Elephas maximus indicus: one gene and its partners. The protein of the gene in region 1 purifies or fractionates together with the protein of each later gene. This does not show direct contact. Links are inferred from orthologs where the notes say so. Each region holds a gene or a part of one and is shown in the gene's direction. Other genes may lie near its edges. The genes, in order: SF3A2, SNRPA, U2SURP and DDX42.

Region 1 (7,398 bases):
GTGTAGCACCTGGCCTCAGTGATTTCTCAGTGTCTGCAAGGGAGGCAGTACTGCTTAAGGGCCATGACCAGAGCTGGGGAGTGCAACTGCACAGGGAACCATTTAGCATTACCTTGTACTACAGGTTTTATGGCTCTCACTTGCAGGTAGAACTCACCGGAGGTCTGCAGCTCCAGCCTCAACAAGGTATCTCTGCCCAGAACGTATTCCAGTATTGGGGCTCTGTATACTTGGTAGACCTTTAGGGGTAGCCTTCCAATCTGCAGCACTAGTTTAATTTGGCACACCCTGACAGCCCCACCCCTGTACGCATCAATAGGTGTTAGTGGCCCTTTAAACCTACCTGGGTTATCATACATCAGGATGCACTTTGCTCCAGTGTCTACCAGAGCCAGAACATGTTCGTTAGTGGGGGTCCAGAGTATGATCATTTCAGTGTGTGGCCTCTGGCCCCCTGTCACCCAGCAGATGGTTTCCCGCACCTGTGGTGCACCTTGGCCACACCTCTAGTCTAGGGGTGAGGGAAATTCCCACCCCTTGGCAGAGGGAGCCATAGGATTGGCCTCCTCTTGTGGGCTCTGGTCAGTGCCTTTGTGGAACCCAGATCTTTTGTCAGGAACAATTTTACACCAAAGACGCACATTTTATAGAATAGATAGTTTGATCAAACATACGGCACAAATAAGAAATGCCCTTGCAGGGAACTGCTGCACTGAGACCCCAGACTGCTTGTCTGAGATGCATGGTCCAGGCTGGGGTTGTCTCGTCCCCTCCCATCAGCCATTTAAACCTGTCCATTGAAGTGCTCCTTTGCCCCTACGTCTTGGGGTGATAAAGAGTGTGACGAGTTCATTGAAGATCCAGTGGAAGCCTCTATATGGGATAAAATGCCCTGATATGACTTGCCTGCTGAGAACACCCTGGCCTGTTGGCTCGGGAATCTGTCCCTGCACAGGTTTAGTCTTGGCCAGGGTCTTGTAGGCAGGTCAGATTTTCTGTGTTGTCCAGCGTTTTCTGATGGCAGTGGCAGTCCATGTATGTAGGCCCCGTCTAGGATGGTGTGTGAATCTCCATGGATGGTTCTCTCTTACATCCAGGAGGTGGTTGACTGCACATCTCTTCACCCGGGAGCAGACAATGCTTCAGCCTCTGCAGTCAGCTGGTAAGACCGGTCTGCTCGTTGGCTGTTTTCCACTCTCAGCACAGGGGCTTTTCTGATGACTATCCACACAAGTAACAAAAGTTTCTCAGGAGCAGGACTGCTTTTGTTATTTATTTCGTCCAGATGTCTCATCTCTGTAGGGGATTGCTTTATATGTCAGTCCGAGGGTTTTCAGTGGCCAGATTGAATGGCCAGGCTGTTAGCTATAGCCCATGTCACAGTTTCCTCGTGCCCCTCTAAAAATGGCCCTAACTGCAGCAATTCCCATCAGGACTTGGAGGCAAAAGTCTACAAAGGTGTGCATTAATACATCGACATCATCAGTACATGCAGTAAGGATTTGTAGGGGCTCCAAGGGACTTCTCCATAGTCAGGCTGGGGTAAGTGTCTCAGTGAGAGTGACCTCAGACCCAAAGTATACCTCACTGGACTTTAATTTTAACACAAGGCCTTTGCTCCTCGTTGGTAACAAAGGAATTAGGCTTAATCCTCAATCTTAATTATTTCTGAAAGATCTGGGAAAAGTTGGCAGAGCCCTCACTCATTTATGGGGCCACACCTCCATCACACCAAGTGCAAGCATGGGTCCAGCCCAGTTACCTGGTAACCTGGAGGTGGGCCCCCTCTTTTAGTTTTCCCCTTACTATTGCAGTTACAGCTAGGTTGCTGTTCAGTTACCTTGGTGGGGGCAGCTGTCAGAGAATTCTGAGGTCTCTTCAAGGTCGCTCAACACAAGCTATCCTGACGGGCTTTTTACTCCTGTTTTTTCTTTTTTCCCTGCTGTTTTAACTCTTGCTTTGCACTGGGTGTTACAGGGCGTTCTCAGCGCCAGAGACCTGTTTATCCCCTCCAAGTAGCTCCAGTCCCATGCTCTACCGATTGAGCTAGCCAGGCTTGGCTGGCCACCCCAGGATTTCTCCCACAGAAAAGCATACGGGCCAGACCTCCCCACATAGAGGTCGTTGGCCACCCCAGGATGTCCCCCGAAAATGCCTCTTGCTTCTGCAAACGGGGCACTAATGTTTCAGTGGAGGAGGAGTATGCTGCCCGCAAACCCTCCAGTTGCAGCTCTGCTTCCAGCTGCCTAGTTAGGGCCCTAGCGGCTGGCTCGGGATCGGACGCCCCTCTCAGCGCTGCCAGTAGAAGCCACCCCACACAAGCCGCCTCAGCATGGCCATCTGGCTTTCGCTTTGGGGACTCCAGCTGACACAGCATATCTTCAATGCCCTTAGGCATTTTTGGAGCGTCCCCGTACTCATGCGGTGGGATCCAGGTATCCATAGCCACGACCCCCCCTCCCCGCCACATATATGGAGGACAGGGGCCATCCAGGGATTCCTACCATCAAGGTCCCTCTCCCTGCCATATGTCCAGCACTCATGGAGGTTTCCTCAGTCTCCTGGCTGGCTTGCCAATTGTTGGATAACAACCCAATGGTACCTGAACCCAAGGTTAGCTGCATCTCCAAGAGACCTAGGAAAGACTCTGGAACCAGTGATCATGACATATGTATGGTTTATTTGGGAAGCTTACTTATGGGACCGTGGTTCAGGGCGGCAGCTGGACCAGTTAAGCACCCCGCAACCACCTAGCAAGGGACGGCAGCTGGCCCAGTTCAGTGCTCTGCAACCACCTAGCAAGGAACCCAACCTTATGTACCACTCCAGCTAGGACCAAGGCTCGTTGTTTTTCTCCCACGTTCTTGGGCAGTCTGTGTTCCCAGGGACTTCACGCCCAGGCCCAGATGTTTTCCTTCCTGTTGCTAAGGCATTCCTCATGCTTGGCCGCTGGCCCAGTCATGCCACTCCCACCGTTGTACCTTAGCCTGAGTCCATCCTGAATTCATCCCCAGCATGCTTCGGGGAAGAGCAAAGCTGATTCCATTAGGAGGTATGCATATAGCTGAATAGCATTACCTTACAGCCTTCCATTTTCTTTTGATGGTTCCTGAGTTGTTCAGTGTTTTGCCTACAGTATCCTTCAAGAGAAGCAGATGGTGTGACTTCGTCTCACATTCTTCAAGGATGATATCAGGAGGGACCAGTCCCCAGAGAAGGATATCACGCATGGTAGAGGGTCAGCAAAAAAGAGGAAGACCCTCAACCACATGGAGTGACACAGTGGCTGCAATAATGGGCTCAAGCATAACGACAATCTTTTAATATTCCAACTCAAGGCTTGAATTTTCTCTTCAATTCTTTCAGCTTGAGAAATGCCCAGCATGTTCTTCCCCTAGGTTTTTGCACATTTCATTGTAGTACTTTGCTTTCTCAATCTGACCTTCGAAATCATCTGTTCAGCTCTTTTACTTCATCATTTCTTCCTTTGTCTTTAGCTAGTCCATTCTAGAGAAAACTTCAGAGTCTGTTCTCACATCCATTTTGGTCTTCACTTTCTCTCTTATCTTTTTAGTGACCTCTTGCTTTCTTCATGTAGGACTTCGTTGATGTCGTCCCACAACTCATCTGGACTTTGATCATTAGTGTTCAACACATCAGACCTATTCTTGAGATGGTCTCTACATGCAGATGGAGTGTAAGGAAGGTCATACTCTCATAGGACTTGTTCTAATTTTCTTCACCTTCAACTTGAACTTGCATAGGGGCAATTGGTGGTGTTTTACAGTCCTGGCCTTGTTCTGACTGATGATATTGAGCTTTTCCATCATCTGTTTCCACCACAGATGTAGTCAATTTGAATCCTTTGTATTCGCAGTGGTTAAGCAGTTGGATTCCACCAGCGGCTCTACAAGAGAAAGATGTGGCAGTGTGCTTCGGTAAAGATTACAGCCTTGGAAACCCCTGGGGCAGTTCTACTCAGTCCTGTAGGGTTGATATGAGTCAGGATTAACTAGTTGTCAACGGTGTTTGCTTTAAAGCTTTTGTTTATGGAGGATAAAGAGACAGAGACCCCAAATCCAAAGCCAAGTCCCGGACGCGCCCACCACTGGGCGGAGCCCTCTGCCTCCGCGCCGGCACCCCGCCCCTCCCGCCGAGAGCTCAGCGCAGGAAGCGGAAGTGCGCGTGCGCGGCCGGCAGCCATGATTCGCGGTCGGCCGGCTGGGGCGTGAGGTACGTCTGTGGCGCCGCCGGCGTCCGGCCTGGCCCGGTACCAGGTCCGCGGGGGGGGCCCGCTGGGGTTCCGGATGGTGCCGGGCCGCGGGGCCTCCGTAGCCGGACTTGGCCTGCAGCCTCCCGCTGCCGGCGCTGCCTCTTCTCCGGGGCCTGGGCCTCGGCCGGCGGCGCAGCGAAGCGGCCGCTGTGCTCTCCCAGCCCGGCTGAGGAGTCCCGCGCCCGCCGCGTCGGGACGGCCAGGTAGGGGGGCGAGGCCTAGGTGTGTCGGGGCGTTAATAGGTGAGGCCGTGCGTGGGCGGAGACCAGGGGTGTCCGCGTCGCCGGGAGTCTGTGAGGAATGCGGGGTGACAGGCCCGGGGAGTTAGCCTGTGCGCGCCCCGCTGCCGCCGCCTGAGTGCGCCCCGCACCGGGCTCCGTCGTCCGCCTGCGTCCCCGCCGGCAAGGACTGTTGGGAAGCTCTTGGGGGTTCTCAAGGAAGCGAGGTTGTTGGGAGGCGTCTCCCCCTCCCCTGGTTTGTTAACGGGCTCTGGTGGCGCAGTGGTTACGCGCTCGTCTGCTAACTGAAAGGTCACCAGTTCTAAACCACCACCCTTTGAGCAGAGGAAAGATGGGGCAATCTGTTTCTGTCAAGATTACAGTCTTGGAAACTGTGTGGGGCAGTTGTATCCTACCAGATAGGTTTGCTGTGAGTCAGGATTGACTCCATGGCAGGGGTTTGATTTTTTAATTTTATAGGATTTTGGCATAGATAAAGTAGTAAGAAACACGAATAGAACTAGCAAGTTCATTGTGGACCATAGTTACTCCACTTTAGGTGGAAAATATTTATTGGTGGTGGTGTTAGATGCCGTCGAGTCAATTCTCACTCATACGACCCTATGTACAACAGAACAAAACCCTGCCCAATACTGTGTCATTCTGACAGTCGTCATACTTGAGGCCATTGTTGCAACCACTGTGTAAATCCATCTCATGGAGGGTCTTCCTCTTTTTCTCAGACCCTCTGCTTTACCAAGGAAACCCTGGTAACAGTGGTTAAGAGCTATGGGTGCTAACGAAAAAGGTCGGCAGTTTGAATCCACCAGGCGCTCCTTGGAAACTCTATGGGGCAGTTCTACTCTGTCCTGTAGGGTTGCTATGAGTCGGGATCAGGTTTGGTTTTGGTTTTCTGCTTTACCAAGCATGATGTCGTCTAGTGACTGATCCCTCCTGATAACGTGTCCAAAGTATGTGAGAGGTAGTCTTGCCATCCTTCCTTCTGAAGCACATTCTGGTTGTACTTCTTCCAAGACAGATTTGTTCTTTTGGCTCTCCATGGTGTATTCAGTATCACCAACACAACTCAAAGGCATTGATTATCGTTCTACAGTCTTTGTTATTCACTTACCAGGTTTTGCACGCATATGAAGCAATTGAAAAAACCATGGCTTGGGTCAGGCACACTTTAGTCTTCAAGGTGACATCTTTGTTTTTTTAACAATTTAAAAAGGTCTTCTGCAGCAGATTTTCCTAATGCAGTGTCTTTTGATTTCTTGACAGCCGCTTCTATGGATGTTGATTGTGGACTCAAGTAAAATGAAGTCTTTGACAACTTCAGTCTTTTCTCTATTTATCATGATATTTCCTATAGTCCAGATGTAAGGATTTTTGTTTTCTTTATGTTGAGGTGTAATTCATACTGAAGGCTATGATATTTGGTCTTCATCAGTTTAAGTGCTTCAAGTCGTCTTCACTTTCAGCAAACAAGGTTGTGTCATGTGCATAATGCAGGTTGTTAATAAATCTTCCTCCAATCCTGATGCAATGTCATTCCTCTTCAATTTGTCATTCCCGGCATTGTTAAAGTTTCAAGTTTAGGTTTTGCTTTTGTGAATAGTGCTGCTCTGTTCATTCTTTTTCCGTGCTCTAAATGCACAGTAACTTCCAACTGAGGGAAAACGGCTGAGTTGCAGATCATAGCCAAATTTAAATTGATCAGGAAATTACAGTGTTCTCTACCCATTTTCCCTTCCACAAAATAAGCATATGTATTTTATCTGTTCCATTTGTTTTGGCCAACATGGGGATTCTCAAATATATTAAATTATGCTTTGTAAAGCTTATGAAATCGTATGTTACTTTGAGTTTATTCTGCAGTGATCTTGCACTACTGCAATAGTGACAAGGCTGTGCGTGTTTTCCCACTGTAAATTTGCCATTCTGTGACTTTTTAGGGCTTCGTTATAGAGTTTGGAAAAATATAGTTTCATTGGAAAATTTTTCCCTAGTATGTAACTTATGGTCTTCACTCATTTTTTGCTTCCTTCGATAGAGTCCTAAATTTTAATATAATTGAATTTTCAATCTCTTCCTTTGTGTCTTTTTTTTTCCTCTCTCTACTAATGTCATGAAATTGTGCTTATAATTTCTGAACGTGTTATTTTACATTTTGACATTTAAAGTTAATCTACTTGGAATTTATTTTTGCATGTGGAGTATGGAGGAATACATTCATTGTTCCAGTTAGATAATTAGTTGACTCTACCCCACATATTAAAGTGCCTGAAGTTTCTGGCAGTGCCCTGTAGTGTGCTTCCTCTGTGATTAGACAATTCTTCATATAAGTTGGTGAGCCTGTTCCAGGGCTATGTATTTTTTTCCAATGGATCTATTTGTGTATTCCTATACTGATCCTCCACCACTCATATGAGGGTTTGTCGTACGGTGGTGGCTTGCATGTTGCTGTGATGCTGGCAGCTATTCCACTGATATTTCAAATGCCAGGAGTGTCACCCATGGGGGACAGGTTTCGGGGAGCTTCCAGACTAAGACAGACTAGAAGAAGGAACTGGTAATATACTTTTGAAAAAATCTGGCCAGTGAAAACCTTATAGAACATTGTATAATATACTGCCAGAAAATGAGCCCCTCAGATTGGAGAGCACTCAAAACATGACTTGAGAAGAGCTGACTCCTCAAAGTAGAGTCGACCTTAATGGGGACACTAATTTGCTGATGTGTCAAAACCGAAAATGAAAAGAAACAGCTACAGGCAGCCATTAATAATTAGAATGTGCAATGTATGAAGTATGAATCTAGGAAAATTGGAAGTCGTCAAAAATGAAATGCATAAAGATCGATATCATATGTGTTAGTGAGCGGAAATGGACCAGTATTGGTATT
Region 2 (7,300 bases), on another chromosome or scaffold:
TGCACAGACACAGAAGATAAGGCACAGAGAGGGTGATCAGCTTGCCCCAGGCCACACAGCATGGAGGTAGCAGAGCTGGGTTGGGAACCTAGTGTCCACCTCATGACCACTCCCCCCGACTGTGCGACAAGGGCTGAGGGATGGCATGAGAGCCTGTCCCGCACCTGGTAGTGCTACCCCTGGCCTCTCCGAGTGAAGACCCAGCTGCAGACCCTCCTGCTCCCAGCTCACCAGAGAACATCTCCCCCTGGGCGGTGTAGCCTCTCTCCAGTGCCACCTGCATCAGTCTCTCCAAGGGGACACCGTTGGGGGGTGCCAGGAGAGTGCCTGCCATCCACAAGGCCACTAGCCCGCACCTGGGGAGAGACAGGCAGGGGCCCAGCCCCTCAATCCCTAAGTCACTTTGTTACTGGGCCCCCTCTGCCTAGAAGCTGGAGTGTGGGGATCAGGTTTGCTGCCTTGGGGGAGTTCTCCTCCCCTCTCCCAGGCCAGATGGGGAGACCTGACTCCCCACCATGGGACAGAGAATGGCCAAGGCCTGAGCCTAGGGCTGGAGAGATGAAGGGGTGGGCAGGGAGAAACGTCACATGGGTTTCCTGGAATACAAGGTGCCAGTATGGGGTTAGAGAGGATGGACCAGGTTCGTCTTTTCACCCGTCAGTTTCTTCATTTGCTCACTCATTCATTCCAAATCTCTATTCGCTATGGACACACCCGAGACCGTGTCCTGGCAGGTCCCCCCTTCCCTCCCCAGGTCGCTGGGGCCTTGTCCCAGCCTCCCTCTGGGTAAGCCCAGCACAGGCAGAGGCTCAGAGTACAGGGTGGACAAGGGGGTGGGGTCCTGGGTCAGAGAACTTACTGAGGGCCTTCTTGGATGAGGGACGGCAGATCAGCACAGAAGAGGATCCACTGCAGGTCACTTCTGAAACTGAATCAGAGCCACACTCGGGTCAGGCAGGATCAGCTCCGAGGGGCCCCTCAAGGTCCAGGTGGGGGCAGAGCATACAAAGATACAAGGACACAGGAAGGAAACACAGGCCAGGCCATTCTAAGGCCCCAGGGTGGCTCCTGGCTGCATCACTGACTTCCTTCTCCCCCATGAGGCCCTTGCCCTGTCTGAGCCTGTTCCCCCCTCTGGCCAGCGGGAATCATCCTTCCCCCTGCGTGCTCTCTGCTCCTTCTCAGTTACTGAGGAGGCAAAGAGCAGATATGCAAAAGCCATGCAACTAGAAGCCAGGGACACAGATTAGAGAAAATTCCTCAAAGACATGCCGCTACAGCTAAACCCTGTTTTAAAAAAAACCCAAACCTGTTGCCACTGAGTCAATGCTGACTCATAACGACCCTATAGAACAGCGCAAAACTGTCTCCATAGGGTTTCCAAGGAACGGTTGGTAGATTTGAACTGGCAACCTTTTGGTTCGCAGTCAAACGTTTAAACTGTTAAATAAGGTGAAAATCCTTTAACGTGGGTGAAATTAAATGGTCACCTAAATCCCGAAAAATTTAGGCTGATGGCCTAAAATAATAAGTCCTTACGTGTCTGACCAGCCCCCCCTTTCCTCCCCCTGGGGAGGCCTGGGGAAAAGTTCTGGTGATCCCAACCTCCTCCTTTCCCTCCAGGGCTCAGGAGAGGGCAGAGCCCCAGAGTCTTCATTTCCATCTCAGAGTCAGTAAGAGAGAGAGGCTGAAGGGGAACCCAGGGCTCCTGACCAAAAAAGAGATGATGTTACAACACAGTGGTTTAAAGTGCGAAGCCAACCTAAAAACCAAAAATCCGTTGCTGTCGAGTCAATTCCGGCTCATAGCAACCCTACAGGACAGAACTACCCCATGTGGTTTCCAAGGAGTGCTTGGTGGATTCGAACTGCCGACCCTTTGGTTAGCAGCCTTAGCTCTTAACTGCTATACTACCAGGGTTTCCAAAGCCACCCTGCCCAGGTTCAATTTGGGCCCTTTCTCTTAATTCTACAGCTCGGTGATTTCATCTCTGTGAGCCTGTTTTCTCATCTGGAAAACAACACAATAATAGCTTCTACCTCATTAGATTGCTAAAAGAATTAGATAGTTCAATACTTAAAAACCATTAGAGAAAGGTGCCTGACACAATAACGAGCTCATTTTATTTGTGTTTAATTAACCTCATCATGGTTGGGGCATTTAAGACAAATTATAAACTAAGAAGAGCTTGAAAGTTCTTCTGAGTCTGGACAAGTCAGTTCCCCTGATTCCTGTCAGCCAGGCAATCATTCAACTGGGTCCTCTTCACCTCCTTCCCCTGCCCACCACCTCAACCCTGGTCTGGTCCCCTCCTCTCCAGTCTGGTCCTCCAGCTTCCTCCCTGGGCTCTGACTCTAGTCTTACCACCTACCATCTACGTGTCACAGGTAGCCTCATCCAGCGTAAGTAGTTCCTCCTATGGCTCCCCAGAGCCCTCAGGGCAAAGTCCAGCCCCCTTACCATGGCCCACCCTGCTACCTCATGTGTGATCTGGCTCCTGTCCCCCTTTGCCACCTCCCTGTCTCAGTGAGGAAATGCTTGCAATTTCTTTAAAACAGCATGCTCCCCTTTAACTCTGGGCCTCTGCATGAGCCGTTTGCTCTTCATCATGCACCCCTTGCAAGACTTGCTCAATAGCACTCAAGGTTCCCCTTCTCCAGGAAGCCCCCTCTGTCCCCAGGCTGGGTCAGGTGCCCCATTTGGGCTCCCCCATCACAGCCCTGACCACTCTGGGCTGTCACTGTTTGGTGTGGGTAGTCTGCCTCCTCCACTGGACTAGGCACTTGTGATGGCAGGACCTTTCTTCATTGATGGAGCCATACCACCACCGGAGGGCTCAGTAGGGGACTGGTCCGACCAGGCTGTTTGACCTTGAGGACAAACAGGAAACCCCAAGAAGAGGATAAAATGATCTGGGACAGGTAGTTGGTAAGATGACTGGGTGGGTGAAGAGGAGACCCTACCGGTCCTTGTGCAGCTTCAAAAGCCTCTTCACATCCTCTCTGCCGGTGGGGACTGGGCCGGCCTTCTCCAAGGCCTCCTTCAGCAGCTGGCTCTTTTCCATGCCGAAGACGTGAGGGGGAGCAAGCCCCAAAGCAGGAGGTGGAGGCGGCAGTGGGGGTGGTGGGGGAAAAGGGGTCTGGAGACTCGAGGAAATGGGTAGAAAAGTTACATCCGGGGAATTTGGAGGCACGAGAGGTGGAATGGAGGCCTGGGGTGTAGGGGCGCTGGGAGGAAGGACTGGGGGCTCTAGAGATGAGCATGGAGAAGTCATTTCGGAGTACTTGAGAGCAGCTCGGTGGAAATGCGAAGGGGAAGGATCCTTCAAAATGCTGTTTAAGGTTGGCTGCAGAGATGGGGATTACGAAGGTTTTACAGCTGAGTCCTAGAACATGGGAGCAGAACAATGGGAAACGAACAAGGTGGACGCAGGGCTTGTGCAGGCTCAAGTCGAGGATCTGAGAGTTAACAGGGTGGGGTCTTTTAATCTCACATCCGCTAGTATGGGGCTGGGGCGGGTTGGTTTGCGGGACGAGAGGGGAGGAGATTAGGAGTTAACTTGTCCAGGTCAAGACTTGGAAACTCATGAGTTAAATTTCGGGATAACGGGCCTCAATCTTGGGGTGTAGCGCCTAACACGTGGGGTTTAGGAGTCTCGAGCTAAGGACTGGGGTAATTAGACTCTGTTCCCCACCCCCACCCCCAAGCCGAAGTTCGAACCTCTGAGCTGATCTTTGAGCCAGAGGTCAAAAAGGACACTGGGTAGAGAAAACTGCCTACTTGTAGACAGGGTCCTGGAATAACTGAGAAACAAAGTCTGCGAGTTGGGAAAGGCTCTGAGCCTTTCCGGGAGGCCGGAAAGAGCGACGATGCCCGTGGAAAATGAACGGAGTTGGAAAACACCCGCCTCCTCTCCTCGCAAAATGGCGGCTGCCGCACACAGGTTTTCTCACGTCACGTGGTAGAACTCGCAACTTATGCCCGCCCCTTCGGCAATCACGTGGTAGAAAATGGCAGTGCGGGCTGAGAGGTGGGGCTATCAAAGGATCCTCGCCGGAAGAAGCTGCAGAGCGAGCCGCGTCTCGATTGGCAAGGAGCGCGTGAGGGGGCGTAGCCTTCACTGATTGGTCCGTACGCCCCGAGGCATCTGGCGGCCTAGGAAGCACACAGGCTGGGGCGGGGTTTTCTCCCTAGGCGGGAACCCAAGTGTCGTTTTGATTGGCAAGCTATTGGTGAGGGAGGTGAAATTTACTCTGATTGGTCAAACTGCCAAGTTTCCACGCGGAGATTGGCTTGCGGGAAGGCAAAGGCTGGGTCAAGGGAGGAAGCTTTGTGGTCCAACCTCAGGAACTCAGGAGACGCTACTTGTGGGAGCTGCCGTCCGGTCGGTGAGTAATCTCGGTCACAGGCGGTCATCGGCGACGGGCGGGTGGCGCAGATGGAGCTCGGACTCTCCCGCATCTTGTCTGGAGAAACTTTCCCGCTGCATGAGCCCAGGATGCCCCAAATTTGTCTCCCCTTCCTTAACTGGTTTTACATCCGGGTGTTTTCTCCTGGGCCGCCCTTTGGGCGTGTGAGTCAATAGGAATCGCCATGTAGGACGCCCCGCCTACTGGGTCGCGTAGAGCATTCTGGGACTCGTAGTAAACCTCTCGAGGTTTCCCTTAGCACGCGGGGATTAGAAGCGGTTTCTGCCCCCGCCGCGTTGCCCAAACTGACTTTTTCCGGGAAGGAAGATCCGTGAGCAGTCCGTTAAACTAGAGTTGGGGCAAAGGATTTAGAAAAACCCAGGCGTGAAGTTCCCTTTTTCCTTTTCTTAGCCCTACCTCGGCATCTAGCTCCATGGCAGTTCCCGAGACCCGCCCCAACCACACAATTTATATCAACAATCTCAACGAGAAGATCAAGAAGGATGGTGAGTTCTCCAGTGGCCCAAGCGCTGGGCTGTACCGCACGAGTTGGCCCTTCCCATCGCTTCTCTATCTTTGTCTACTCCAGCCTGCCTGTTAGAGCTAACCCTTCGGTCCTCGCACATGCTGCGTCCTCTGACTTTTAACACTCCCTTAGTTGATCCACGCCCTACCCGCTAACTTGGCCACTATTGCTTGTCTTTCACGTCTCAGTTCACAGGACCATTCCTCCCCCAGGTGTCTCCCTCTGACTTATAGGCCCTGGGCATCAAGTCCTGATCACTCTGGGCTGTCATGTCTCCCCACCAACCTGTGAGTTCTGTGAGGGCAGGGACTGGAGCTCTCTAGGTCACTGTCATGTTTTCAGTGACCAGTCCACAATGAAAATACGCAACAGTAACGGAACATTCTGTACCACGTGGTGAGCTATGCACTTTTACATAAATTTCCATTTAACAATCCTGCTGGAAGAAGCTTTTGTTAATCCTGTGTCTCAGATAGAAAATTGACACTCAAGTGTGACTTGACTTGCCCAAGGTCACACAGCAGGGAAAGTAGCTGAGGCCACCAGTTTGGAGTTCTGTTTAAGAACATACTTGACATTGTATAGACTCTTCTATTTTCTCAAGCAAGTTGTCCCCTTTACTGAATCCCACTTTTTTCTTTATCTGAAAACTGGACTAACCCAAAAACCCATTGCCATCAAGCCACTTCAGACTCATAGTGATCCTATAGGACAGAGTAGAACTACCCGATGGAGTTTCCAAGGAGCCGCTGGTGGATTTGAACTGCCAACCTTTTTGGTGAGCAGCGGAGCTGTTAACACTGTGCCACCAGGGCTCTGAAAACTGGGCAAGATCATAATACCATGTTTGCATGGATGTTGTGAGGATTAAATTAGCTAAATCTCCATGCAGTGCTTTTTATGGTACTTGGTAGGAAGAATCAGGTAGGTGTTGGTTGTTATCACAAAGGAGCTGCTGGAATTAAATTTGAGGTTACTGATAAAGTTGCTGTTGGAAAAAAACAAAACAAGGAATGTAGATTCTGCACATGCTTTTAAACTATCACGCCTGGCCATGCTAGGTGGTGAGGTGCTGAGGGCACCATGGGGAGCAAGTCAGCCCTGGCCCTGCCCTGTTGGAGCCACAGTCCAGTGGAGGAGACAGACCCGTCATCTGATTGTGACAAGTCAGAGGATCAGGGCTATGGTGGGGAGAGGCCCAGGTGGAAGAATACAGCCAGGATGAGTAAGGGGAGGGGGTTGGGTATGTAGAAGGACAGAGATTCATTTAGTTTCAAAAAAAAAAAAAAACCCAAATCTGGACATCAAGTCAATTCCGACTCATAGTGACCCTATAGGACAGAGCAGAACTGCCCTGTATGGCTTTCGGGGAGCACCTGGTGGATTCAAACTGCTGACCTTTTGGTTAGCAGCTGTTGTTTTTGACCACTAGCCACCAGGGTTTGGTAGAAGCCCTCCAAAGCTTGAGGAAGCAGCATTTGGTGAGGGAGAAAGGTATTCATGACTTTGACCAGCTATATAACTACCTAGGGACAAAAGAGCCTGGGATGTTCTGGGAACTATAAGTAGTTTTGTGTGGCTGAAGCTTCCCATGAGCAAGGCACTCCTGGCTCTCGGGGCCTTCTGGGCTGAATGAATTGGTGAGCTTATCCTGAAGGCATTGTAGAGCTATGCAAGGGACACAGTCAGTTGTCGGTTGTGAAAAATCCTCACAGCTGGGAAGGGTGAACTGGAGTGGGCAGGAGGGGAGGCTAGAGGCTAGGCAGTGGTCCTGAGTCCAGTGGAATGCCTGGGCCTCAAACTAGGCGCATGAGGACAAAAGGTAAGAGATGAAAACTAGAAATGTCACAAAGAATTTCTGGCTAATTGCTTCAAAACACCCTTGCTCCCATCCCCCCACCCCAAACAGGTACACACACATTTCCTTCACCCATCCTCTAGTATCTGTTGTTAGGTGCCGTCGAGTCGGTTCCGACTCATAGCGACCCTATGCACAACAGAACGAAACACTGCCCGGTCCTGTGCCATCCGTACAGTTGTTGTTATGCTTGAGCTCATTGTCGCAGCCACTGTGTCAATCCACCTCGTTGAGGGTCTTCCTCTTTTCCGCCAACCCCATACTCTATCAAGCATGATGTCCTTCTCCAGGGACTGATCCCTCCTGACAACATGTCCAAACTATGTAAGACGCGGTCTCGCCGTCCTTGCGTCTAAGGAGTATTCTGGCCACACTTTTTCCAAGACAGATTTGTTCATTCTTTTGGCAGTCCACGATATATTCAATATTCTTTGCTAACACCACAATTTGAAGGCGTCAACTCTTCTTCCGTCTTCCTTTGCATTGTCTAGCTTTCCCGTGCATATG
Region 3 (7,029 bases), on another chromosome or scaffold:
GCTGAAGGGTGAGCCTCAGGAGTGACTTCATTACTGAGCTGAAAAGGTGTTGGGGGCCATACTCACAGGGCTTCTCCTGTCTCTGTCAGGCCAGCAAGTCTGGTCCTTCTTTTTGAGTTAGAATTTTGCTCTACATTTTTCTCCAGCTCTATCTGCGACCCTCTATTGTGATCCCTGTCAGAGCAGGCAATGGTGGTACCCGGGCACCATCTCATTGTACTGGACTCAGTCTGGCAGAGTCCATGGTAGATGTGGTCCATTAGTCCTTTGTACTAATCTTTCCCTTGTATCTTTAGTTTTCTTTGTTCTTCCTTACTCCCAAAGGGGTGAGACCAGTGGAGTATCCTAGATGGCCGCTTACAGGCTTTTTAAGACCCCCAGACGCTACTCACCAAAGTAGAATGTAGAACATATTCTTTATAAACTATGTTATGCCAATTGAGCTAGATATTCCCCATGATCATGGTCCCCACAGGAACTTGATACTCTCGATGAAGAGTAACTGGCTGTTAATGTATGGGTCTGTTTCTGGAATTTCAATTCTATTCCATTTATCTATATGTCTATTATTATACCAGTACCACACCATTTTGGTTACTGTAGCTTTGCAGTATGTTTTGAAATTGGGAAGTATTTTTATTTTTCAAGATTCTTTTGGCTATTTGGTGTCCCTTGCAATTCTGTATGAATTTAAGGATTGGCTTTCTCATTTCTGCAAAAAGTCCTGTTGGAATTTTGAGGGGGACTGCAAAGAACCTGTAGATTGCTTTGGATAATATTGCCATCTTAACCACATTAAGTATTCCAATCCATGAACACAGGATGTCTTTCTATTTATTTAGGTCTCCTTTAAAATTTTTCAGCAATGTTTTATAGTTTTCAGAGAACAAGCCTTTCACCTCCTTGGTTAAATTTATTCCTAGGTATTTTATTCTTTTAGATGCTATTGTAAATGGTATTGTTCTCTTAATTTCCTTTTCTGGTTGTTCACTGCTGGTATATAGAAACCCAACTGATTTTCAAATTTTGATCTTGTACCCTGCAACTTTGCTGAATTAGTTCATTAGCTCTAGTAGCTTTCTTGGAGTCTTTGAAATTTTTTATATAGACCATGTCATCTGTGATTATAGTTTTACTTTTTCTTTTCCAACTGGGATGCCTTTTCTTTTTTTTTTAGTGTAAAAATGGTGTGACAGGAGTGTCAGACCTCCTCATCTAACTTCACAAGGGGAAGAGAGAATCATTATCAGCACCAACAGACCAAGGCTGATTCCTACGAGAAGGCAGACATACCTCCTCTCTTCAACCTTTTTAGTAATTCTGACACCAGCCATCCCTCCCACGGCAATCTCTACTTCTCTGCTGGGTTCGATAATTCGTTGCAATGGCCACACAAAACTCACAGACAAAACTCACAATCATGGGGTTTATTAGGGAAGTAAAAACAAAAAACCGGTTGTCATCCAGTTGATTCCGACCTGTAGCGACCCTAGATAACGGAGTAGAACTGCCCCATAGGGTTTCCAAGGAGTGGCTGGTGGATTTGAACTGGTGACCTTCTGGTTAGCAGTTGAGCTCTTAACCACCGTGCTACCACAGGCTACAAATCAGGATCAAAAGTCACTCAGAATATAGCTCTTCAGTCAGGACAGTCTCTTCTCAGCCATGCCTGCAGGCAGGCCTCTCTTCCGGCCCTTGGCCCCTCAGCCCCCGGCACCTCAGGCTGTCCTCTGCCCTGCTCGGGCAAGTGTTACACATCTCTTTAGCTTCACCAGTAACTGCCCATGGGCATCCCACCCTGCCAGTAAGCCTCGGCCCAGAGGCACTTGCTTGCTCTTCCTCCGTGGGTTGGTAAGCCTAGCTCTGCTGACAAGTGCACGGAGGCACCCCACTCGGTTAGGAAGCCTCCTGCCTGAAGGCATTCAGGTCTCTCACTCTGTAGGTGGGCAAACCCACTGTAGCTGCCTTGCTCTGGGGGTGAAGAAGCCTGCGGCACTGTCTCATGCCAGTCTCCTGGTTCTGCTGCTGCCGGTTCTCTGCTGCACTTGCTGCTGCTTCTCACCATCTTGCACCATTTCCAGTGTTACAGCTCTCTGTAACAGGGATCCCGGGTCCAAAGGACATGCACCACTCCTAGCTCTTCTTGGTGGTACAGGGTCCCCTGCTCTCTGCTCACATCTCTCACCTTTTATCTTTTATAAGATAAAACGTGTGACTCAAGTAAGGGCATGACTTGAAAAAGGATGGTAGGGTAGTGACTGAGGTAAGAGTGGTGACTTAAGTCACATTCTCTAGTAAGGTGGTGACTCAAGACACATCCCACCTTAATCTGCCTCGTTAATACAACAGACAACTCACTCCCAAATGGGACCACAACCACAGGCACAGAGGCTAGGATTTACAATACACCACCAAGTAGAGGCTAATTATAGCAATCACAAAATGGAAGATGATTACATCATTACATAACTGCCATAACATAACATGGTCCAGCCAAGGTGACACATAACCTTAACTATCTCTGGTTCCACATGCCTTATTTGCACAGTCTCACTCAATCACTGTGTGGGAGTCACAAACTATGGCTAGAAGGGCCATATTAAGTAATTCATGTCACCACACTAGGACTTCCACTACAACGTTGAATAGCCGTGGTGAGAGCAGGAGTCCTTGTCTTGTTCCCCATCTTAGTGGAAAAGCTTTCAGTCTTTCACCGAGTATAATGTTAGTTGTGGGTTTTAAATTTAATGAAGACAGTACATTTTTACTCGTCTTTGTAAGCCCCACAACACTTTGCACAGGGTTTTGTAGAAAACACAAGGCTCAAAAATATTTTGAATGAATTAGGGAACACGGTTCCCTGTCCCTTCCAATTCTCCTGCACCCCCAATATCTTAAGTTGATCTTCCCGACTTAAATCTGTCTTCCGCTATGCTCTGAGCAATCTTTTAAAATGAAAATCTGACCATATTACAGCCCCACTTAACCCTATTGAGGGCGACGCTTCATCCTTAGAATATAACTCTTAACTCCTAATACAGGGTTCCTGTATGGTTATCTCGGCATCCTGTGTGAACTTGCTCCCATTCACTTCTCCAGCCGCGTCCCCCTAAGCCTCTTGGTTTAATAAAACTTGACTGCTTGTGGTGCCCTGCAAAACGGGCTGCAGTCATTCATGCCACAAAGCTTTTATTCCAACTGCTCTCTCTGCCTGGAATGTCTTTACCACTTTCCTTGCCTGGCTTGGTTCCAAGCATGACCTTCTCAAGCAAGCTTTCCTTCTGCGAATCCAGATCCCGATTTAGAACTTTCAAAAAGTCCTAAGTACCTAAAAAATTTATGGCGCTCCCCCATTTATGTGAATAACAGGAAAACAGTACAGAACAGTAGATTTACATGTATGCTAGATTGAGAATACCGTCTTTCTCTCGTTCATCCTCTCTCTGCTCGTGTCCATTTTGCAGGCGCCCTAAACAGTCAGTTTACCTGGTAACCGCAATGCTGGATTCCCGAACTGGGTCAAATGCCCCTCTTCTGGGCTTTCCAGGCACAACTCTAGCTCAACATTGACCATTTTAAAGTAACGTGAGCAGATGCCAAGTTTGCCTTTGCCAGTGGGGTGTGAGCTCCCGAGGAGGCGCGAACTGCGTCTTTGTTCACTGAGCGCCAGACTCCCAGTTGGCTTCAAACCTATTTTTTGAGTTGAAATGAATGCTCCTCCCAGATGTTCAGTGCATTTCTCTTTAAGGAGCGGCTCCCTCCTCGCCTGGGAAATACAACCGGCTGGCACCTATTGAGTGTTGGCCCTGGGAAAGGAGTGTGAGATATCAGTTGGTCCTGAACATCAGAACAAGGAGATTCTCTCCTAAATTCACTAGCACAACAACCCTGTCACAGAGACACAGACAACAACCCGTGGAAAGACTGACCCCGGAAGTCACGTGACTCGGCCCCGCCCGGGCTCACTACCTCTTCAGTCGACTACTCAGCCTTGCAGGCGCCTCAGGCGGGCTCTGCCGAGATCTGCGCTTTCGGTGCTCGACTCTCCTGTGCTGCTGCCGCCGCCGAAGGAGGGGCAAAGCTCAAGATGGCGGACAAAACGCCAGGCGGCTCTCAGAAGGCCAGTTCAAAGGTAATTTCTTAGAAGACTTCGTAAGTCAGTGGCTCTGTCGCTGTCGTCTGGGGCCTACAGACAGTTCTGGTCAGCGGGAGGCGAGCGGGTTGGGGGTGTGCGTTCTGGTCGCAACGGTAGGCCGGGGCGCCGCCGCACCGTGGTGCGCATGTTGAGAGGCCTGGTGTCGCCCCTAAGCCCCAGCCTGCACTCAGCTCGACACTGGCGGGCCCGGGGGGACGGCGTAAGTCCTTCGGCCCGCGTTTGGCGCTGGAGTCAAACCAGGAAGTCACAGTGAGGTCCGAGACCTGTGAAAACGCGCCCCTGTGTCTCAGGTTGTTGAGTCTGAGGCCGCCGGACACAGCAAGGGAGAGGCGGGAAGCGTTTTTCGGGGCTTGTGCCTGCGTCCCTTTATCTTGGGTTCTTTAGCTCAGATCATTCCGGCCTTCCTCAGTTTCCCTCGTGTCCTCCAGGGAATAAATAACCTCTAGGGCTGCCTATGAGGGGAGGGCTAATAGTGGAGGGACGCGGGTGGGAAGTGCAGAGGCGGGAGCACTTTTCCTTTGCAGTGCTGCACCGCCAAGGTTAATGCTACACGCTACACGTGGTCTTTACCTCACTTTAGAGGAAGTGTAAAATGAGCACTTGTTTTTGAGGGTCCAGGATTTGGCTTCGGCTTCATCTCCATGTTGTGTATTCTACTGAAAGGAGAGCTTCCGTAGACTTGGAAGCCATCTAAGAGTAGTAATTTGCATTTGGTTTTACGGGAACCCTGTTCGTATACTGTGAAACCAAAGTGCTGTAGAGGAGTAGTTTGTTGTCAGTAAGGTTGTAGTTAACGTCAGATCCTAGTTGCCATATCGGGCAGGGCATTTAATCGTTTTTTTTTACTTTGAGTTTCTCGTCTGGAAAACATGTTGAAAGAAATAGGTATTTACTGACACGAAGTTGTTGTGAAGCGTTTTGATGCTGATGCAAGAAGTTGTGTAATTCTTGAAAGTTCTGGGGACTGTTAACACATCTAAACTGTGTATGTGGTTGTAAGTCGGTTAACAGGTTTACGTTTGCCTTGACAAACTGGTTATGTTACCAAAACAACCCGTTTTATACTTGATTTCTCAGTTTCTAATAAATGTGAATCTTCATGCCGTTTGGTGAATGATGCTCATAATTAGTTCATAATTACTTATAACTTTACTAGTCAACCTTTACCAAAAAAAAAAAAAAAAAAAACTCAAAAAAGCAAAAAAAAAACCCCAAACCCGTTGCTGTCGAGTCAATTCCAACTCATAGCCACCCAAGAGGACAGAGCAGAACTGCCCCATGGGGTTTCCAGGGAGCACCTGGTGGATTCGAACTGTTCACCTTTTGATTAGCAGCTATAGGTCTTAACTACCGTGCCACCACGGTTTCCAGTCAACCTTTAGTTTAAAAAAAAAAAAAAAAAAAAATTTTTTTTTTTTTTTTTTAGTTATGTAAAAAAGTATGGTAGAAGGCCAGTTTTGGCTGCATTACATCAAGGAACCCTGTGTCAGTTCCTCCTCTCCCCAACACACTTCCCCTGTCTTGTGAGGGAGAGAAACAGGTGTGTACCTTACTCTTCTGCCCACTCTTCCCCTTAACAGACTCATGCTAAAAGCAGCCCATTTTGTATTAAGGAGCCTTAGTAAAGCAAGCTGCTATTATATTATTGTTAGACCAGAAAAACCAAACCCACTGCCGTTGAGTCGATTCCGACTCATAGCGACCCTATTGTTTAAAAAAAGTGCCTTCAAATCAGTTCTGACTCATAGAGACCCTGTGCACAACAGAAGGAAATACAGCCTGGTCCTGCACCATCCTCACAACTGTTTCTGTGTTTGAGCCCACTCTTGCGGCTACTGTGTCCGACCATCTTGTTGAGGGTCTTCTTCTCTTTCACAGACCTTCTACGAGGAATAATGTCCTTCTGCAGGGACCGGTCTCTTTTGATAACATGTCCAAAGTACGTGAGATGAAGTCTCACCATCCCCGCTTCTAAGGAACATTCTGACTGTACTTCTTTCAAGACAGATTTGTTTGTTGTTTTGGCTGTCCATGGTATATTCGATATTCTTCGCCAACACCATAATTCAAAGGCATCACTTCTTTTTCAGTCTTCCTTATTCATTGTCCAGCTTTCATGTACGTTTGAGGCGATAGAAAATACCAAAGCTAGCTACATCCATAGTAATGTTTCATGCATACATTTCACAATTTTTGTTTCTTGTTGAAGTAAGTATCTCTTATTTGAGGCCTTGGACACATTAAAAACATTTCAGTGTACATGTTCAGGCTTCCTTCTCAAGGTTGTGTATGGCTGTATAAGTTATTGAGTATTCCAGTAATAAAATTTTTTTTAGTTTATGTCACTTTAGGTTATCATCTCTTGATGCTGTTCATAGATTTTTATCAATGTCTGTAAAGGGAATCAATATCTCAGTAATCAAATGATGTTGACATGATTTTTTTTCCATTAATATGGCTGTTGTTGTGTGCCATCCAGTTGACTCTGACTTGTAGCAACCCTATCAGATGAAATAGAACTTCTTTGTAGTGTTTCCTAGGCTGTGATCTTTATGGAAGCAGATCGCCAGGTCTTTTCTCCAGCAGAGCTGCTGGTGGGCTCAAACCACCAGACTTTCGGTTAGCAGCCAACCGCTAACCGGGGCCCTTCATTAATATGGAAGCATAGCATATTGGAAAGGTTATGGAGTTTGATAATAAACAAGAGTTTTGGATTTGAATTCTGGCTTGGTAACTAGCTAGATTTTGTGATGTTAAGGCAAATTGCTTAAACTCTTGAGCTTCAAATTTCTCCTGTAATACGGTAGAATATGGATATAATCTCTCTCCTTTTTTTAAACAGGGTCGATGTAGGATTAGAGGAGTTAATATCT
Region 4 (7,886 bases), on another chromosome or scaffold:
ATGCCTCTCGGTGGACTCAAACCTCCAGCCTTTCAGTTAGCAGCCACGTGCATTAACCATTTGTACCACGCAGTAAGATACACAGAAGACACAGTTGTTTGTCCTTGCTAGAGACAGTAAATTAGGTGGATGGGCACTGTGTTCTGCATCTACCAGTGAAAGACCTGGGGGCCTTCGGTTTTCTTTTGGTTGACCCAAATCTCTGAAGAGTATAGGAAAAGGTATTGGATATATTCATTTTGCTTCTTGCTGAGTCTGAGAGCCATTAAGCAGCCCTCACTTGCCCCAGATTGCACAGCCTGTCTGTGTCACAAGTTGAATTTTTAAAACCCAGTGTTTGGTTCTTTTGTAATATGAGCCTTTTGATTGTTCAGTAGGACTAATATATCTGTATCTGTTGTTATTAGTTTCCATTGAGTGGGCTCCGATTCATGGTGACCCCATGTCTGGTCCTACACCATCTTCATAATCCTTGGTATACTGGAGTACATTGGTGCGACCACTGTATCGGATGATAATCTGTTGTGAGCCATAGGGCTTTTATTGACCAGTTTTTTGAAGTAGATCGCCAGGTCTTTCGTTCTAGTCTGTCTTAGTCCGGAAACGCTACTGAAACCTGTCTACCATGGTGACCCCGCCAGTATTTGAAATACTGGTGGCATAGCTTCTAGTATCATAGCAACACCCAAGCTACCACAGTATGACAAACTGACAGAAGGTGGTGGTCTGTCTCTTTGCCCCATCCTTTGCTCCTTCCCTCCAGCTGAGGAGGAAGAGTCACTTGCTTTTCTTGTTAAAGGTTTCGATCTTGCCTCTTTGGGTCACCTCAAGGACCTTGTTCCTGTGAGTTTTCTGCTGCCGCCTCCCCCCCCCCATCTTCAATATTTCTCTGTTGGCTTTTGCTTATAAACATGTTTAAAGTTCTTAAAAAAACAAAATTGCTCTGTTAATGCCCCCACCGTCAGTATTCCTCTTTACCGTCTACGTACATACCAGTCACTTCTCAACCCTGCAGGGTAGGGTCTGCCCTGCTGCTCCACTGAGACTGCTTTCCCTGATGACGCCTGGTGTACAGCCAATAGAGGCTTTTTAGTTCTCCTGCTTACCTGACTTCTCTCTCTCTTTTAATTTTATTGTGGTGAACTATAAATAATAAAAAAAATTTGCCATTTTAAGAGTGCAATTCGGTAACATTGATTATATTCTCCGTGTTCTGCTATCATCACCACTATTTCCAAGTTTTTCATCATCCCAAACAGAAACTCAGTACCCCTTGAGCAGTAACTCCCTGTTCCCCCAGCCTCTGGTAACCGCTAATAACCTTTTTTCTCTCTGCATTTGCCTGTTATAGATGTTTCATATAACTAGAATCATATAACATTCATCCTTTTGTGTCTGAATTACTTCACTCAGCATATTTTCAAGGTTCATCCATGTTGTAGTATGTGTCAGAACTTCTCTTTATGACTGAATAACATTGTATGTATATATACCAGATTTTGTTTATCCATTTATCTGTTGATGGACACTTGAGTTGTTTCCAGTTTGGGCTGTTGTGAATAATGCTGCAGTGAGCATTGGTGTACTAGTATTTGTATGAATCCCTGCTTCCATTGGGGGGAAAAAAAACCGTAGCCCTGAGTCAATTCTGACTCAAAGGGACCCTATCGGACAGAGTAGAACTGCCCCATAGAGTTTCCAAGGAGCGTCTGGTGGATGTGAACTGCCGACCTTTTGGTTAGCAGCTGTAGTACTTAACCACTACACCACCAGGGCTTCCCTGCTTCTGTTAGTAATCTTATAATCACTTTCCTTGCCTCCAGCTTTTCCTGCTGTCTCATCTGTGCTTTCTAAAGCACTGACCTGAAGAATTCTCCATTTTGCTTAAAAATATGCCTTATGGCCAGCAGAATATTGTTTTGTATATTCTTAGTATAGAATACCAAACTGGCCACTTGGGCCCTGCCTGTCTTTCTGGACACGTGTCGTGTAGCTCTCCCAAATGTCCTACTGAACTCTAGTTGCACTGAACTATTTCCAGTTCTCTGATTGTAGTAGTACTTATTGTTCCCTCAAACAAAAATGCTGTCCTCGAATACTTCCTCCCTAGCCTAATGCTTCTTCAAATTTCAAAACTTAGCATCAGTGTCATCTCCTGAAAACTTCCATGCCTTCCCCCCACTCAGCCTGTGTTGTTTCCTCTCTCCTGAGCCACCAGTGAACGCATTTTGTGCAGTACCTTTGTTAGAACACTCACCTTGTTTTGTAGCTGTTGGCTAAGATTATACTGTGAACTCATGGGGAGAACAGGGACTGTTATCTTTAGTACACTGCCTGACCGTCTGCAGCAGGCTTCCAGTAAATCATTGGAAGTTTTCCTTTTCACTTAAAGATTGTTCATACTATTCTTAATTCATCTGAACCTGAACGTCTTTCCACCATCCCTTCTTTGCCTGCCTTCTGATTTCTATAGTTCATTTATTAGCCCCTCATTCTACATGGTATGTACTGGGAAAACAGGTTAGTCCATCATTTTGGGTGCTTAGGAGCAGCTCTTGTAAAAGCAGGCTTAAGTATTATCAGATGCTGAAATTTTCTTGCTTGTGAATATTCTTACTAAATCTCATCTCACTAGAATTATGTTCATTCCTCTTACTGGATTTTTAAAGAAATTAGCAGATGGCCTTAGTTAAATGCAAATTAGTGCAGTAAAACCTGTAAAACAGGTAAACCTGTCAGAGAAGGAAAACTTGGTTTCCACTAAGTTGAGAGTGACGGGAAACCCTGGTGGCGTAGTGGTTAAGTGCTGTGGCTGCTAACCAAAAGGTTGGCAGCTCAAATCCACCAGGTGCTCCTTGGAAACTCTATGGGGCAGTTCTACTCTGTCCTGTAGGGTCGCTACGAGTTCAAATTGACTTAACAGCAACGAGTCTTTTTTTAGAAAGTGATAGAAAAGTGGTGACTGCACCATGTCAAAGGTGAAAAATTGCGAGACCTGGAAAAACAAGGCAGTCCTGTCAAGTTCTGGCTCTCACAGGTTTCCTGTACTTACTAAGTACCTACTGTAGGGTGCTTACTGTTACGGAAAGTCCAAGTTGAGTAATGACAGTTCCTATCTGGAGCTCTCAGTCTAAGGCTGGAGATAAAAAAGAAAAAACAAACCCGTTGCCATCGAGTCGCTTCTGACTCATAGCGACCCTATAGGACAGAGTAGAACTGCCACATAGGATTTCCAAGGAGCACCTAATGGATTCAAACTGCCGGCCTTTTGGTTAGCAGCTGAAACTCTTAATTACTACACCACCAGGGTTTCCAAGGATGAAGATAAACACCGTGTAACTGAAATCTAATACTAAGCAGACTGAACAAAGTGCTATATAAAATAAAAAGACTCATTGCCGTTGAGTCGATTCCAACCCATAGCGACCCTATAGAACAGAGTAGAACTGCACCATAGAGTTTCCAAGGAGCGCCTGGTGGATTCCAAGTGCCAGACTTTTGGTTATTAGCCGTAGCACTTAACCGCTATGCCAACAGAGTTTTCAAGTGCTATATAGTGGCAACTCAAACAAAACCTGTATATAGGGGAGGGATGTAGAACCAGAAAAGTACACAGCATGTTTTTCTGGTCCCTGCAACAGTGTCATCTCTAAATGCTTTATACACCTTAATAAAGCAGTTTTTTGGAACTTCTTGCTACTTGTAAACCCTAGTGGGGGCGGTTCTACTGTGTCCTATAGGGTTGCAGTGAGTTGGAATTGACTCCCTGGCAACGGGTTTGGTTTTTTTGTTCACGTGGATTTCAGAGCCCATTGTAAGCATTTTAATTATTATTAATCGTAAACTTTAACACAAGGGAAAAAGTAAAAGTCAACAATAACTGCCACTAACATTTTGATAAACAGCTTTCCAGCTGTCTCTGCATTTGTAACACATGATCTTACATAATTAGATCATACCACCTACCTTCTTTTATACTTCTTTTACTCAGCGTATAGTAGATACTTTTCCATAGGTGTAAGTAGTAATTAAACTTTCTAAAACTTTAATTACTAATATTCCTTTTGACTAAGTAGTTGCATTTTAAAAATTGATTCTAAGGCAATAATTACGGGTATTCACAAAGATACAGGTATAATGATATGTTTCACAACATAAAACAGTTGTTGTTAGGTACTGTGGAGTCATAGCGGCCCCATGTACAGCAGAATCAAACACTGCCCATCCTGCACCATCCTCAAAATCGTTGCTGTTTAAGCCAGTTGTTGCAGCCGTTGTGTCAGTCCGTCTCGTTGAGGGTCTTCCTCTTTTTTGCTGATCCTCTCCTTTATGAAGCATGATGTTCTCCACAGACTGGTCCCTCCTGATAACGTGTCCAGTAAGTAAAACAAAGTCTCAACCATCCTCACTTCTAAGGAGCGTTCCGGCTGTACTTCTAAGACAGATTTGTTTGTTCTTCTTATGGTTCGTGGTATACTCAATATTCTTGGCCAACACCATAATTCAGAGGCATCAGTTCTTCCTCAGGCTTTCTCAATCATTGCCCAGCTTTTGCTTGCATCTGAGGTGATTGAAAATACCATGGCTTAGATCAGTGGTCTTTTGTGACAGATTTGCCCAATTCAATGTATCGTTAGATTTCTTGGCTGCTGTTTCCATGGGTGTTAATTCTGTATCTAAGCAAAATGAAATCCTTGACTACATCGATATTTTCTCTGTTTGTTGTGATGTTGCTTATTGGTCCAGTTGTGAAAGTTTTGTTTTCTTTATGCTGAGGTGTAATACATGCTAAAGGCTATATGTAGTCTTTGCTCTTCATCGGTAAGTGCTTTGGGTCCTTTTCATTTTCAGCAAGCAAGGTTTTGTCATTTGCCTATTGCAGGTTGTTAATGAGTCTCCCTCCAGTCCTGATGCCATGTTCTTCATATAGTCCAGGCTTCTCGAATTATGTGCTCAGCATACAGTTTGAGTAAGTATGGTGAAAGAATACAACCCTGACACACACCTTTCTTGACATGAAACTATACAGTACACCCTTGTTCTGTTTGAACGACTGCCTCTTGGTCTATGTACAGGTTCCTCATGAGCACAATTAAGCGTTCTGGAATTCCCGTTCTTGGCAGTGTTATCCATGATTTGTTATGATCCACACAGTTGAAAGCCTTTGCATAGTCAGTAAAACACAGGTAAACATCTTGCTAGTGTACTCCGTTTTTAGCCAGGTTCCATCTGACATCAGCAGTGATATCCATCATTGCACGTCCTCTTCTGAATCTGGCTTGAATTTCTAGCAGTTCCCTGTCAATGTATGCTGCAACCGCTTTTGAATAATCTTCAGCAAAATTTTACTTGAGTGTTACACTAATGATATTGTTTGATAATTTCCGCATTTGCATTGGATCACCTTTCTTTGGAATGGGCACAAATGTGGATCTCTTCTGGTCAGTTGACCAGGTTACTGTTTTCTAAATTTCCTGGCGTAAACAAGTGAACACCTCTAGCACTGCATCCATCTGTTGAAACATCTCAATTGATACTCTGTCAGTTCCTGGAGCCCTGTTTTTTGCCAGTGCCTTCAGTGTAGCTTGGACTTCTTCCTTCAGTACAGCTGGCTCTTGATCGTATACTACTTCCTGAAATGGTCGAACGTATGTGTATCCCTTCCATCATCTTTTGATGCTTCCTGCAGCAATCAGTATGTTGCCCATCGAATCCTTCAATATTGCAACTTGAGACTTCCTTCTTTCAGGCTTGAGAAATACTGAGTGTGTTCTTCCCTTTTGGTTTTCTAACTCTGGGTGTCTTCACTTTTCATTGTAATACTTTGCCTTTTCCAGCTGCCCTCTGAAATTTTCTGTACAACTCTTATTTCATCATTTCCTCCATTCGCTTTAGCTACTCTACATTCAAGAGCAAGCTTCAGCGTCTCTTCTAACGTCCATTTTGGTCTTTTCTTTCTTTCCTGTCTTTTTAATGACCTTTTGCTTACTTAATGTATGTTGTCATCCCAAAATTTGTCTGGTCTTTGGTCATTAGTGTTCAGTGTGTCAAACCTTTTCTTGAAATGGTCTCTAAATTCACATGGGTTATACTCAAGGTCATATTTTGGTTCTTATGGACTTGTTTTAATTTTCTTCACCTTGAACTTGAACTTGCATATGAGCAATTGATGGTCTGTCCCACAGTCGGCCCCTGGCCTTGTTCTGACTGATGATACTGAGCTTCTCCACCATCTCTTTCCAGAGATGTAGTCGATTTGATTCCTTTGTATTCCACTGGGCAAGGCACACATGTATAGTCACCATTTATGTTGTTGAAAAAATTCTATCATACCATCCCCAGTGTCGTCTCTGTCACCAATGCCTTATTTTCCACCTATCTGATCCTCCTTCTTTGTTTCCAACTTTCACATTCCAGTCATCGGTAATTATCAGTGTACTGTGATGGTATGTTTGATCCATTTCGACTACAGAAGTTGGTTAAAAATGTTCAATTTCCTCATTAGTGGTTGGTGCGTATATTTGAATTACAGGTGTATTAACTGGTCTTCCATATAGGTGTGTGGATATCATCCTATCACTGACAGTGTTGCACTTCAGGATTGATCTTGAAATGTCCTTTTTGATAATGAATGGGATGTCATTCTTCTTCAGTTTTTCATTCCCAGCATGGTAGACCATGTAATTGTCTGATTCAAAATGGCCAATACCAGTCCATTTCAGCTCACTAATGCCTAGGATATTGATCTTTATGGGTTCCATTTCATTTTTGACAACTTCTAATATTCCTAGATTCATACTTCGTACATTCCACATTTCGATTATTAGTGGATGTTTGCTTGCTGTTCTCATTTTGAGTCTTGTGCCACATTAGCAAATGAAGGTCCCAAAAGTTTACTCCATTCACAGCATTAAGATAGACTCTAAGGAGGTAGCTCTTCCCCAGTTGTATTTTGAGTGCCGTCCAACCTTCCGGCTCCTGTATCAGACAGTGTTCCACTGCTGTCATAAGGTTTTCACTGGCCAGTTTTTTTTTTTTTTTTTTTTTTTTTTCAGAAGTAGAACACCAGATCCTTCTCAGTCTGTCTTAGTCTGAAAGCTCCACTGAAACTGCCCGCCATGGGTGACCCTGCTAGTGTTTGATACACCAGTGGCATAGCTTCCAGCATTACAACAACATACAACCCACCGTAGTACGAAAAACTGACAGACCAGTGGTGGTATACAGGTATGTTTCACAGCGTATGGCAGTAGTGGAGGGATATACTTATTGACATTTAAAGACATTCACAGTGTATGAGTAGATGAAATCAGCTCACTAAAACTGTACAGTATGGTTTCAGTTTTTTTTTTTTTAGTTATATATTTTCGTGTATACACATTGTTAGGCGCATGTACATAGAAAAAAAATAGGGAAAGAGATCAACAAAATTACATACCTGGGAGAAGAAATTTCAAGTAAAAACACAAAATTTTAGATTTTGCTCCTTTTTGCTTTCTGAGTTTTCTGTTTTTCTAAGAAACTTTGATAACTTGTGTAATTAAGATTTTTTTTTTGGCATCAAGAGTTTCAAGGTTCTGTTTGTAAACTGACTCTATGGATACTTTGATTCTATACACACAGACACTGGTATCTCTCCTTCGCTATCATGGGTACTTTGTAGTCCTTATCCAAAGGCTAAATGGATATTTTAGGGAACACCTCAGTGATGTTGTTAGTGTTAGTTGCCCTTGAGTCATAGAGACCTTAAGTATAACAGAACGAAACCTTGCCTGGTCATGTGCCATCTTCATGATAGTTGGTTTGTTAGAGTCCATCATGGTGGCTGTTGTGTCATTCGGTCTCATCATGGGTTTCCCTTATTTTCATTGGCCCTTTACCAAACA

What was found.
Region 2: the proteins of SF3A2 (region 1) and SNRPA fractionate together in Homo sapiens (co-fractionation; 3 studies listed by BioGRID and IntAct, with this or other methods). This does not show direct contact. The link is inferred for Elephas maximus indicus from reciprocal best matches to the Homo sapiens genes SF3A2 and SNRPA.
Region 3: the proteins of SF3A2 (region 1) and U2SURP purify together in Homo sapiens (affinity purification with mass spectrometry; 3 studies listed by BioGRID, with this or other methods). This does not show direct contact. The link is inferred for Elephas maximus indicus from reciprocal best matches to the Homo sapiens genes SF3A2 and U2SURP.
Region 4: the proteins of SF3A2 (region 1) and DDX42 purify together in Homo sapiens (affinity purification with mass spectrometry; 3 studies listed by BioGRID and IntAct, with this or other methods). This does not show direct contact. The link is inferred for Elephas maximus indicus from reciprocal best matches to the Homo sapiens genes SF3A2 and DDX42.

What each region holds. Positions count from the first base shown.
Region 1 is NC_064821.1:2,911,171-2,918,568, forward strand, and holds the start of SF3A2 (splicing factor 3A subunit 2), read left to right. Parts: upstream 1-4,391; 5' UTR 4,392-4,476; intron 4,477-7,398. UniProt on the Homo sapiens protein: Component of the 17S U2 SnRNP complex of the spliceosome, a large ribonucleoprotein complex that removes introns from transcribed pre-mRNAs.
Region 2 is NC_064829.1:110,909,074-110,916,373, reverse strand, and holds the start of SNRPA (U1 small nuclear ribonucleoprotein A), read left to right. Parts: upstream 1-4,279; 5' UTR 4,280-4,388; intron 4,389-4,820; 5' UTR 4,821-4,842; coding exon 4,843-4,915; intron 4,916-7,300. Other genes in the region: ACTMAP (UPF0692 protein C19orf54 homolog), read right to left, coding at 232-356, 860-928, 2,964-3,274. UniProt on the Homo sapiens protein: Component of the spliceosomal U1 snRNP, which is essential for recognition of the pre-mRNA 5' splice-site and the subsequent assembly of the spliceosome. U1 snRNP is the first snRNP to interact with pre-mRNA.
Region 3 is NC_064841.1:16,832,631-16,839,659, reverse strand, and holds the start of U2SURP (U2 snRNP-associated SURP motif-containing protein), read left to right. Parts: upstream 1-4,029; 5' UTR 4,030-4,087; coding exon 4,088-4,132; intron 4,133-7,029.
Region 4 is NC_064837.1:54,986,728-54,994,613, forward strand, and holds the start of DDX42 (ATP-dependent RNA helicase DDX42), read left to right. Parts: upstream 1-4,882; 5' UTR 4,883-4,889; coding exon 4,890-4,969; intron 4,970-7,055; exon of another isoform or gene 7,056-7,227; intron 7,228-7,886. UniProt on the Homo sapiens protein: ATP-dependent RNA helicase that binds to partially double-stranded RNAs (dsRNAs) in order to unwind RNA secondary structures. Unwinding is promoted in the presence of single-strand binding proteins.